2 linked regions of the Neodiprion lecontei genome follow. The protein of the gene in region 2 interacts with the protein of the main gene of each other region in a pairwise test. Links are inferred from orthologs where the notes say so. Each region holds a gene or a part of one and is shown on either strand. Other genes may lie near its edges.

What was found. The genes of interacting proteins can lie anywhere in the genome.
Region 1: the proteins of putative E3 ubiquitin-protein ligase UNKL (region 2) and headcase protein interact in binary tests that used the Drosophila melanogaster proteins (3 or more experiments, as listed by UniProt). The link is inferred for Neodiprion lecontei from reciprocal best matches to the Drosophila melanogaster genes unk and heca.

The regions. Positions count from the first base shown.
Region 1 is NC_060263.1:4,791,699-4,797,856, forward strand, and holds the start of headcase protein, read right to left. Parts: upstream 3,561-6,158; 5' UTR 2,444-3,560; coding exon 1,665-2,443; intron 1-1,664. UniProt on the Drosophila melanogaster protein: Required for imaginal cell differentiation, may be involved in hormonal responsiveness during metamorphosis. Involved in an inhibitory signaling mechanism to determine the number of cells that will form unicellular sprouts in the trachea.
Region 2 is NC_060264.1:35,194,217-35,200,223, forward strand, and holds the start of putative E3 ubiquitin-protein ligase UNKL, read left to right. Parts: upstream 1-2,398; 5' UTR 2,399-2,945; coding exon 2,946-3,028; intron 3,029-3,114; coding exon 3,115-3,345; intron 3,346-4,661; coding exon 4,662-5,084; intron 5,085-5,189; coding exon 5,190-5,413; intron 5,414-6,007. Other genes in the region: protein BCL9 homolog, read right to left, coding at 1-114, 441-682, 757-1,054. UniProt on the Drosophila melanogaster protein: Essential for late larval/early pupal development.

The DNA of each region.
Region 1 (6,158 bases), on a different chromosome or scaffold from region 2:
TTCAGGGTCAAGATTTACTTTCTCTCTCTCTCGCCTCTTTTCGAAGCATGGGGTCGACGGGTGAGGAGAGCAGCAGCATCACGTGTTTTCAGAGTTTCTTTTACAAGATCTACTATTACTTCATGGATGTAACAGACCCAACGGCTATAAATCATTTCTTCACGTTCTCAGTCATCGAGTGATGATTCATCATCGGATATTACCAAATTTTTCGCAATTACTGCATCATCTATCTAATACTACGATAAGGAGGCTGAAATATTTCGCAACGACGATAAATCTTGTTTACGTTGATCAATTTGTTAATTGTGTAGGTATTCGAGGTTTACAGCGGGAAGCGAATATTGAAAAAACGACCAAAAAGTAGTAAGGAAAGATGATTAATTTTCTGAATTGGCATCTCAAAGTTTTTCAAAGACATTTCGACATTATTATTTAATTTTTTGCATCATTATGGATAATGCGGATAATATTTTGGAAAATTCGGTTACATACCCGTATTCCGGAATTTGAAAATCCGTTGAAATTCCACGAGGCTCAGGTTAGCGTCGTTGATGTAAACTAACATTACCAATTTGCAGCTTCGAAATAACCGAAGATGTTGAGTTTACAATATTTAACTTTGTTAATCCTGTTTTAACGGTGCCTGATGAGTTTTTTTTTTTTTTAAACGCATCGCTGCAAACTACGTTAGAAAGTTGAGACCTGATAAAATTCCTGTAGTAAAACGAAACGATAAAAACAGACGGTACAAAAACACATAACAATCAGTGAGAGAATAATGATAATTAAATATTCAGACAAAGCTGAGGTTATTAACGTTATTGTAACGATTAGAGTTTCGAAGAAAAAAAATCGTTAACTCGCAATTTTAAAAATATCCAAAGTCCAGTAAATCATGGTAAGAATTGTAAATATATTATTTCGAAAACTTGACAACTTCGAGAGTGAGTGTAAAATTTCGAAACGGCGATTTGTCACGAGACTGAAGTTAGCAAGGTTAACGTAACGAAATGTCAAGGGAGAAAAAAAAATCTTACCGTGCAATTTCTCAATAACTTTCAAGGAGTCATGTATTAAAAATATTTTTGAGCACGTTTGCTTTGTCATAGTTCACTAAATTTCAGATAATCCTAAATGTACAAAATAACGCGATTTTTCTTAAACACGCACCGTTACCGTAACCTGACCAACTTCATCCGCATGATTATATATCCTTACTTTTCTACTTACCGCCAACCTCGGCCTCTTATTACCGTAATAACGATCAATCGTCATAGGCATAATAAACAAAACACACTCATAACTTGAAAACCGAACTTCACACGGATGTCGTATTCTAAAAATTGCGGAATAACAAACTTTTCTCTCGCGTCTCGGTCGAGTCAGCGTTGCCAACTTCAGCCTCGTCAATCGCCGCCACTCGAAAGAAGAACCGATCGTAATGAAGTTGTTAACGTTATCGCAACGATTAACGAAATTCCGTCGTTTCGCGATTTTAGAATTGTCCGTAACACGACGAACCGTAATAAAACAAAAGACATTCGTACATCGACAATCCTAGTTCCGTAAATCTCTTGTTTAACGATCAAACGTGTTACCAACGCAAGCCTCGTAAGAAACGAGCAAAAATAAAATAGAGAAATAAAATTTTCTCTGCTCACCTAGCGCGATCGCTGAAGAAGTCGACCTTGTTCTTCTTCTTGGAACCGGACTGCGGCTGATGAAGAGGACTGACGGAGGGTTCGCTTGTAGCTGGGGGTGAACTGGACCCGGTACTCGAGGACAGCGATCCGGCCCTTCCGCGACTCGACTCGATCATCTGTACCTCGGAGGACCTCGTAACGGGCCCACCGTGAGGCCCCGGGTGTCCGGCCGATATGGCGAGCGAGGGCCTTGTGTTCTGCCTGTTGCGACGCTTCTTCTTCTTCGCCTCGGCATCCTCGGGCCGCTGCCCGACGGCTGATGCCAATCCGGGTGGCATCCAGTCGAGGTCCTTTTTTAGATGACCCCTGCCGCATCGGCAGCCGCAGGCCTTGAACGCCAGGTCGTAACCCTTCTTGGTCCAGAGGTTTTGATGCCGCTGTCTTTCGGACCAGCTCCTCGCGCGTCCGCAGCCCTTAAGGTAGGTCAGTACCGTCTGTTCCCACGCCTCGAAGCACTCTCTATGCATAAACTGACCCACCGGACAGCTCTCGTTGTTGCAGGTGACCTTCACCGCCTCCTGAAGCAGGCCCATTCGGATCGGTGAATCGCCTCTCAGACACTCGCCGCTCGGTGCGCAGCATCGTGTCGTTGTTACGGCTGTTCCGTTGTTGTTGTTGTTGTTGTTGTTGTTGTGCTGCTGATGACCACCGTTTCCGTTGGCCACCATGTCCGCAAGCTCGTTTCCACCGCCCTCGAGCAACCCTCCGTGACCGTTGGCGTGTCGTCTAGGCGCCATTACTAATTTCCCGCACTTTAAGGGTAACAAAAGGCCTAACCGCGTTGACTCGTTAGGTGGCGGAGCTACGATTTTCGATTGTTTATTCGACGTTCCGGAACGGCCGTTCCTCGGTCCACAGACAGCGGCGTGTTTTCATCCGAAATCGAGAACAGGGGAAACGACGAAGATTCGGACACGTGGTATGATTTTTTGTTATTATTCTCTTACTTTTATCGCGCAATAATTTTGCAATGTACGTTCTCACACACTTTTCTCGCGCCGCGAAATATTTCCGAGAGCCGACAAACAAGCGAACAATACGCGTTGGATAGAAGTTAACGGAGCCAGCGATGCTCTTCTTTTCAATCTCTATTCACCCCTTGGCTACGGAAAACCGACCGCGACCTCGTCGCAGCTGCAGCGGCACTCCGAAGTTGTCATAATAACAACGCTTACGTCCGCCTTCTGTATCGGCGATTCGTCTCCGTTTCTTTGTATCTCGTCAATTTTCGCCGATACGTTCAAGCAACACAAACACAGTGAGTAACACACAAAAAAACAAAAAAATAAAAAACAACCAAACAAACACAAACAAACACGAAAACCGAGAACAGTTTCACTCCGTCGGATATACGGATACGGATAGACACGCCGTCGATCGTCAAAGTTCCGTGTCACATCGTAGAAATATCTCGAGGTTTCGTGCGACAAGATCGTTGTTGCATTATCGATGAACGGTATAAAGCTGTTAAGAGTAGTTGAGAATAATAATGGGAAGCCGTATACACCGGTTAGGTTTTCGTTTTACATGTGAAAAATAACGAAAGTAAAGTAATCGCGTTTCAAATAATCGGCCGTGTGACCGCAGCTGCAAAACGCCCTCGCACTCTCCGTCTCTCTCCGTTTCACCGTCTCGCTTTCTTTTCGCGATACGTAGGTATAACAACAGAGCGCCCAACGCTTCTTACTTATTATCGTTAGTCAGTATCGGACGCAGAGCCCAGCTCGGGGCAGGGTGGGATTTGTTATTATTAACACGCGAAACACAGCGAGAGGCGGCGTCGCAATTTAGTCTCGATCAGTTCCAAGCAGGATTGTTACTGCACCAGTCAGGCAGTCACTACTGAGCCAGCCGGCGTGCCAAGCTTCCTCGCTGCGTGCCCGGCACACCGGCCGAGCGCGAAAGTGAGACCCGATTGGATGAAAGCGAAAGCGTGTGGTGGGGGTCACGGCTAGCGGGCCAATCGATGACCGCCGTTGGCGCCGCGCGTCCCGCCGTCGCAACGCAACCCAACGTAACGCAACGCCGGCCGGCTAGCCGAGCTTTCCCGCTGCCGCATGCACTCGTCGTCGAGTGTGCGTGTTTGCGTGTGTGCGCCCTCCCTTCCCTTCCCTTCCCTTCCCTTGCCTTCCCTTCCCTTCCCTCGGCGCCCTTCTCCCTGGTATACCATCGAGAAAGATCTCCGTCCAACACCCGTGGAGAGGTTGATGGTATGTACCAGTCGGCGCGTACGGTCGCCTTGTGTACGTGTACAGGTGCTGCGGGGCAATTAAATTCTCATTCCAAACGATTCGCTAGCCAAGTTTGTAACTCCTTTAAGAGGATCCCCCCCCCCCTTGATTGATTTCGATGTGATGCAGGACGTACGTACAATTCGAATATCTATATACGCGTGTCTCGAAGGCGACAAAACTGCTCAACAGGCACCTTCCGTTAAACAACAAAAGAGGAACGCTCCAAACGCCATTTTCCTTGACGCGGAAACAAAGAATTGGCTTGAATCGTAATAAATTGCATTAGTCAATTCGTAGACATCATGCCGTTGTTTCTTTATTCTTGCGTCAAACGAAAATCTGCCGAAGTACTTTTGTCCAGCGTTGCCTGTTGAGCCGTTTTGCGCGTTTGACAAACGTCGACTTGGACGTTCGGAGATACGTGCGTCAACGTCGAAATCGACTCAGGTCAGGGAATTCTGAAATTCTGGGTTAATCAAGGAAATATCCGGGGGGTGGCGAGGGGGGGGGGGGGGGGGCGAAAAGTTAGGGAATAGTTTACTGTATATTTTCGTTCGTAAAAATACATCGCAAAATTTTTTTGTTCCTTAGATAAATTAGATCAAATACTTGCAAAATTGTTTATTCAAATTGGTCGGGAAAAACGGTAATATTTTCGTCTGGAAAATCTGTAAAATTCCGGGAATTTCGGGACGGAGGTTTTAGTGGCCATCCTAATTTCAACGCTCGCGTCTATCTACGCGGATGTATCCGATCCAACTAAGCACAGTGTAATTATTATATCTTATAGATAAGAATGCTCCTTTCTGCATCATTTTTGAAGATTCTGATGTACTTATTGCGTCTAGATACACACGCTGCACGTGCCTCTACGCCTCTGCTGTCCTGCCTTAGTACCACGCTACTACCGCTTGACCTTGACCCCATGTTCTATTTACACGACAGCTGGGACCCGCACGGAGATACGACGGAGGTAAGATACACTTTTATTTACCTACGTTGTTGTACGGTGTAGTATATTTTGTCGGTGGAAATCTGAGGCACCTTGCTGATTTTATTTTATTCGCGAACTTCCGGAGCTCGAGCTTGCATTCTTGAATTCCTTGAATTATCGCTCGATTCGTGTTTCAAGATCGTTGTCTCGACGGGGTGCCCCGCTTGATTTCGACCATTTGACCTACGTATCGCGAAATATCGAAGTCCACGTATTTCAGACGCGAAAAAGGGCTGACAGCCCCGTTCGACACACTATTCTGAACAATACCGCTTCAACGGATTTTCATTTGACCCAGAAATAAAGAAATGGCATAAATTCTACGAATTTAGTATTGCGATTTCGTAGAATTCGTGTTATTTCTTTATTTCAGAGTCAAATGAAAATCCGTTGAAGTGTTTTTGTTCGGAATTGCGTATAGAATCGGGCTATTAAGTCCCTTTTTAGTTTAGATTCGTGAACTTTGATATTTACGGATGTATAAGTGTACATATGCATACATTAAGGAGATGCCATAATTAGACCTCACCGAATTCGTTGAATTTCTTCTACTTTCGCTGTTATAAGATGCTACGTATGCATTTTTGTGGAAAAACACGCGGATACATTTTGCTTATACGCAAAATTGAAGAAGCGGCATCGAAAAATAAGAAATCGCGATCGGGCTTTCGTAATAAAATTTCACCGAATTTCAGACGACGCTGAATTTTCGAAACAACGATTTTTGCAAAAACCTAACTTCTAGATATCAACCCTTAAGCCTGAAATGCTTTTTTCGCCACCCTTATTTCGGAAACCTGCGTCATTTTGTCCGGTACGTTTTTTACCAAATTTATCTGTTGTGAAAAATCTAAAAAAACTCTTATACCATCTTCAAACTTTCCACTAGAATCCTATGAAAAAAAATAGTTCGAAGAACAATCATAACTATCGAACGAAATGTGTCGAAATAAAAAATCAAATGGGAAATCGAGGCTAAAAGATTGAGGAATAAAAATACTCATAAGCCGTTTCGAAAAATTTCAACCGGATGCTTTAAGTTTCTACCGTGAAAAATCGTTATTTTACCGTACCGATACACCACACCTTTTATTATCCTCGTCGGAATAATTAAACCTTATTCAGGGAATACATAAAAATGAAACGTTTATTAAGATATATGTTATAACTGGACTTGGGGGAAAAAGATAATAAAATAAATATATGTATACATAGGTTGACGTA
Region 2 (6,007 bases):
GGTGGGAAAAGCACTATTCGGCCCGCCCTGTTGGCCTTTCTGCTTCATCATCGCTAGATTATTCAACCACTGGGCAGGGTTTGGTCTGAACTGGTTCACCTTACTAGGGTGTTTCTGAAACGACAATGGTGATAAAAAAATCCTTCTATTTCAATAATCTGCAGAAATATACCAATTGCTATCTTCGCTCAGTGGTTTACAAAATAAATCAATACGCTATGGTGGTCTCAACTATGCTTCAATATTGATATCTGTCATTATCAAGTTTAATTTGATAGAAAATTATTGAATCATTGGAAGAATAAAAAAGTTAACAAGTTACGATAAAAGGGAGCAATTTCTGCAATTAATGACTTAAAGGTATATTATATTTCAAAATTTAAATAAAATACCCTGACTTTTCCTGACTTTCCAGATTTGTGACGATCCTGCCTACGTACCTCCAGATACTTCTTGGTGCCTGGCTGTGCGCAATGATAAGCAATTATCGATGGGAATTGTCCCTGCAAAACCGCTTCTGCGCCTTTATTTGCCAGCATAGTAGAAAATACAAATATCTGGCTCTGCTGTTGCATGTACTGAGCATCCCCTCCGCCTGTGCCAGTGCCCATTTGCTTGGCAAGCACATTGCTCACTAGGGGTTGAATTCCGTCAGACGAGAGTCCAACGCTTGCTGCGCAGTCTGGGTAAAATAATAAATAGTAATCGTTAATCTATGCCCAAGGTGAAAAATTAACCAAGATACCGAGTGCGCACCATTTTGCAGATCATCGCCAGGATGGTTCTGTTCATTTTCCTGTTTTACAGAGCCAAGTATGGATTGATTATTAGTACTATTTTGATTTTCTTGAGACATAGTGCCATCCGTGTGATTGGGATCGATGTTTGAATCCCTTTGGCATTCCGTCGATTCCTCCCTGATGGTGTTCTCATTATTGCCAGTTCCTGCTACCCCGGACTCCTCCTTTATTTTAACCGAATCTGTATCAGGTTCCTCCTTGACGACGGTGGTCGTAACGCACGTTGCTTCGCTCGATTTTTTCTCCGTTTTCATTTTCGTATTATCGGAGACGAGCGACGACGACGTCAAACGGCTGTTGATACTTTTTCACCACTGAGCAGCATGGCCAGTCTAGTTTTTCAATCCATCCATGATTAAGGATACAATTCCACCGATACAACATCCAATGATTAACTCAAGATATTCTTTAGATCTCTTGTCCGTCAAGAAAGATTGGAAAAAAAAAATACCCAAAAAAACACAGGAGCGAAAAGATGAAAAGAAATAAAAATAAGAATATCCAATATCCACACTCGAGCACACACACGCGCGAGAAAAGCACAAAACTGAAAAACTCGTGATATGCGAAGTGAGAATAAATTTTTAAAAAAAGTATGTAGGAACTACGTATTACGTGCACTGATCAAGGCAGCAGCGTGTCCCCGACCAGAAGCATGTTTTGGCTTCACCTTCGGCCAGCAGAGTGTTATTGTTCGGCTGGGACGCGGGGGAGGAATCACCTGATGCGAGAATGGAGGTTGAAATTGCTTTACTTCACGCAGGATACGTCGCACTTGTTCGCACGGACAGTTGTTTATTATCCGATTTTATAGGCACTGGGAGAACTGGGTTGATGGTAAAACGCTCCGCTCGACGGCGGATTGAGTTCAGAGTCGCGAGAGTCGAGAGGCCGAAATGTCAGCCCATAAAGCCTCGGATTACCGAGGTCTGCATGCCTTCGGCCGTGGAAAATTTTTTATCCGTTATACAGACGCCGGTATTACTGTTATTGAGGCTTGTCCACCGATCGACGACGTTACACTTGATTTTCACCGCCTAGAACCTCAGCATTGTGTTTCTTCAGCTTTTATTTGTCACTTCATGGTCGCTTTGCTTATTTATTTCTTTTCAAACACGCTTGCCAACCCCTAGCCAATTGTTAATTCATCAAGGGTATACACGGTATACAATATCAGATTTTGTTACTAGATTTTTCGTTCAGATCTGCCACTATTAAGTGCAGTATTGCCATGTATATTATGTACGGTGCATTCAACCATTTGCTGGGAGTTCTGACGATGATCGGTGGTTCTGTGTTTCACCCGCTCTACTTGGATTGTTGGTGATCTCTATTTCACTTCTAGAGAATTAGGTCCATGAATTTTCAGCGCTACCGCAGTTCATTTTGTAACTCAGCCATGGGAAAAGGAACGAATATAGTTCACGGACAGTGCCCGAAATTTTGAAACACGACCGAACGTTGTATAGTTAGTCCATATGATAAAGTAACACAAGCGCGAGGTGCTGCCATCTAACGTTTTATCTCGCTCGTAAATGCGTGGCGAAAAGTGTGCAACATTATAAAATCATTACTCGGGCTGGTATGTGTGAAAGATAAAAATTGGATACAAAAATAACAATAAAATAAAAATTATCGACCGATCTATTCGTAGACAAAGCGATGAAAGGATAAAAGTGACGAAAGAATCTCCGGCTGAAATCCATACCGTGAGATATCAGCGGCGACCCAGTAGAAACAATATCGGACAACTAGTGCGTGTTGAACCAGTGACGCCGCAACACAAAGAAATTACGCATATGAACAAGCGCAATAGCGACAGACGCGACAGCATCGAACTGCAGTGCGAGTCAGGATAGTTGCTAGAACTACGCAAGATTCTACAAGCAACGTTGAGGAGGAGACATTTTCATCGCGTTTATAGGCGATAGAATTCGATCACCGAGTAACGGTAATAAAAGCATCCTATCGTTTGACAATAAAAGAAGTGTGTTAGGCGGGGGGTAAAGCGCATCGGCATGAGTGCGTGTTTACGTTCGGTACCAAAACACCAATGACCTTGAAACTCGTGATTATTCGGGGGTCACGTGACGCACGGGACGGCCAGGGATTGGCGGACCGCGACGCGTACCCTGCGCCCCTGGGATGCTCGATAGATCGTTTCGCAAGATGAAGTCCGAATCAAAACCTTTGTTGACAGCTCAAACAGAAAAGGCGAATCATTACACGTAAGTAGTGCCTGGCGGGGCCCCCGAGTGTGACGACAGACAGTGGTGCAGTGCTCACGGTCCAGTGTACAACGAATAATGTGTAGTTCTGTGGATTCGCATTCCAGATATTTGAAGGAATTCCGCGTGGAACAATGCCCCCTCTTTATACAACGCAAATGCACCCAGCACAGGCCCTTCACCTGCTTCAACTGGCACTTTATGAACCAGCGGCGACGAAGGCCCGTAAAAAAACGTGATCGGACCTTCAATTACAGCGCCGACAATTACTGCACCAAGTACGATGAGACAACCGGCCTTTGTCCCGACGGAGACGAGTGAGTACTTCCTTATCTCCCCTCCCCATCCCCATCCCCCTTTACCCTCCGTCCAACACCCACCCGCTTTTTTTTCTTATCGTCGCCCATATTTAACCACCCTTGGAAGCTCGAACATTATTTTCTTACATCATTCGGACCGCGCTACCCGCCAATTTCTCACGCCGTCGCGGCTCTCCACACGATTTTCGCATTATTTTCACACACGCCAGGAGCTGATTTTGCACAAAGGAACTCTGTCGGTATTGATTTTCTCCTACTTATCCTAACAACAAAGAACCAACACTGCCTTGTACTCTTTCATATTATTGTCATTTATCCTACACAGTTGTTTGTTCACCAATAATAAATCCATACTGTATACCAGGGATGGCCAACCGATCGATCGATCCTGGCTACCAGGCCAGTCGATCGCGACAAAGCAAAGAAAAATACATAACTGTCAAACAAATATTTCTTGTAATTCTGCGGTAAAGATTTGAGATTGGTAGATCGCACAGAGTCTGGACAGTAAACGATAGATCTCGGGTCCGATCAAGTTGGTTATCCCTGCTGTATACCGACGATCGTTCTACAATTTGACCACTTCACTAGTCATTGTTGTTTACTGGTTAATTTGCAGAACCAAAGTGACCTGCTTACCTGCGTTACCAATTTCATATTATCTTTGTTATGTCCGCGTTACAAATAATGCATTCTAAACTTCTATTTCCTTCAATGATTACACCGTCAGCAAATGAGAGCTGATGACCCAATGGATAAATGGTCAAAAAGCATCAGGTTCATTCTGTACAGAGTTGTTGTCTAGGCTCTAATCATTATTGTGGCTTGCCGTTTGCCTCAAGTTTAACAGACTGTCTAAAAACTTGCTTAAATTTCTTGTAGTTGGCCAAACTATAGGTGATATTGGTTAAAAAGAATTTAATCCCCTTAGAATGAATAATATTGAGTGTTTTACATCTCGTACTGTTAAAAAATAGATCAGTTATTTTTAGCGAATATGAAGGATTATCAAAACGTTCTGTAAAATATACACAGCATTCCTTTAATCGTATTTAAGGATGCAGGTTCTACGTCATCGTCAATGTCACAAATTATCCAGAATATGGCATCATAGAATTTTGACTCGGGACTATGTAATTTCACAAAACTATATTTTAGTTCGAATCGTCATTCGGGGGATAAATTTTAAATTTGATACGTTCATTGGTTCTTAATTTCTGTTAATTAGAATCAGCCAATCGATGCCTTTTTCAATAGTAGGGAACGCAAAGGCAAAGTAGAATGATTGGGTTTTAAATTTCTGCCTGGTCCAGATGTCCGTTCCTGCACCGTACTGCGGGGGATACGGAGAGACGGTATCACCTCCGCTACTACAAAACCTGCATGTGCGTTCACGACACCGATTCAAGGGGTTTCTGCGTAAAAAATGGTCCACACTGCGCGTTTGCACATGGAAATCATGATCTGCGACCGCCGGTATATGACATCAAGGAGATTCAGGCCCTTGAGAACCCAGATTCAGATCCAAACTCGTCGACGAATGGGCCAAACATACTGGATAAAGAAAGGAATCTCATGAACGAAGACCCCAAATGGCAGGACACCAATTATGTACTAGGAAATTACAAGACTGAGCCGTGCAAACGACCGCCTCGGCTCTGCAGGCAAGGCTATGCCTGCCCGCAGTATCATAACAGCAAAGACAAAAGGCGCAGCCCTAGGAAGTACAAGTACAGGTGAATTTTTATAATTATTCTGTGCATTCATATACGATTAGGTATCACCCTTGGTATCACCCTTGGTATCAAAATGATGTTTTTCAATATCAAATTCCTTCAAAGATCCACACCGTGTCCAAATGTTAAACATGGGGAAGAATGGGGTGAGCCTGGTAACTGCGAGCAAGGCGATGCCTGCACTTATTGCCACACGCGAACAGAGCAGCAGTTTCATCCGGAAATATACAAGTCTACAAAGTGCAACGACGTGCAGCAGGCTGGTTATTGTCCTCGCGGCGTATTTTGCGCCTTCGCACACGTTGACCGTGAGTGTAACCTCATCAATCGTACGTAACAATGTCTTTTCATAAAGATTGTAAGCTTAGGATGTGTGATAAATGTACTTTACTAGCTTGACGTGACACATTATTTTATTTGTGTAAATTTTTATTCTTGACTGTTCTCTCGCAAAACACAATTTCCTTCCTTCAAAGCATGCATTTAAACAAATTAATTTCCAGTCCAGCTGTAGAAGATCATGCTAATAAATGTGTTTATCGTAATTCAATTTTGATTATATTTTTTTTTTAAATTTATTCATTTGAATTTTGGCCATTTCTCGGGTTTACAATTTCACAAATTTTATAGTATTTTCGTAAAACAGTAAACAGTCGAGTTTCAGATTTGGAATGAATAATGGTAATAATTGAATTTGGGCTGCATGAATATTGACTTGCGTGATTTGGGGAAACTGGTCAAGTTGCGATCGTAAATCATGTTAGTTCTTTCTTTTGTAAAGACTTCTCCACTATGAAATCTAGTCAATAGTTTGTCAGTAAATTGTAAATTGCCATTATATTCTATGCTTGAGTCGTTTGGGTTTCATCTTGTGTTAAACCATAAACTTAACTGTGAGAATCGCTCAAGATTGATATATTGAA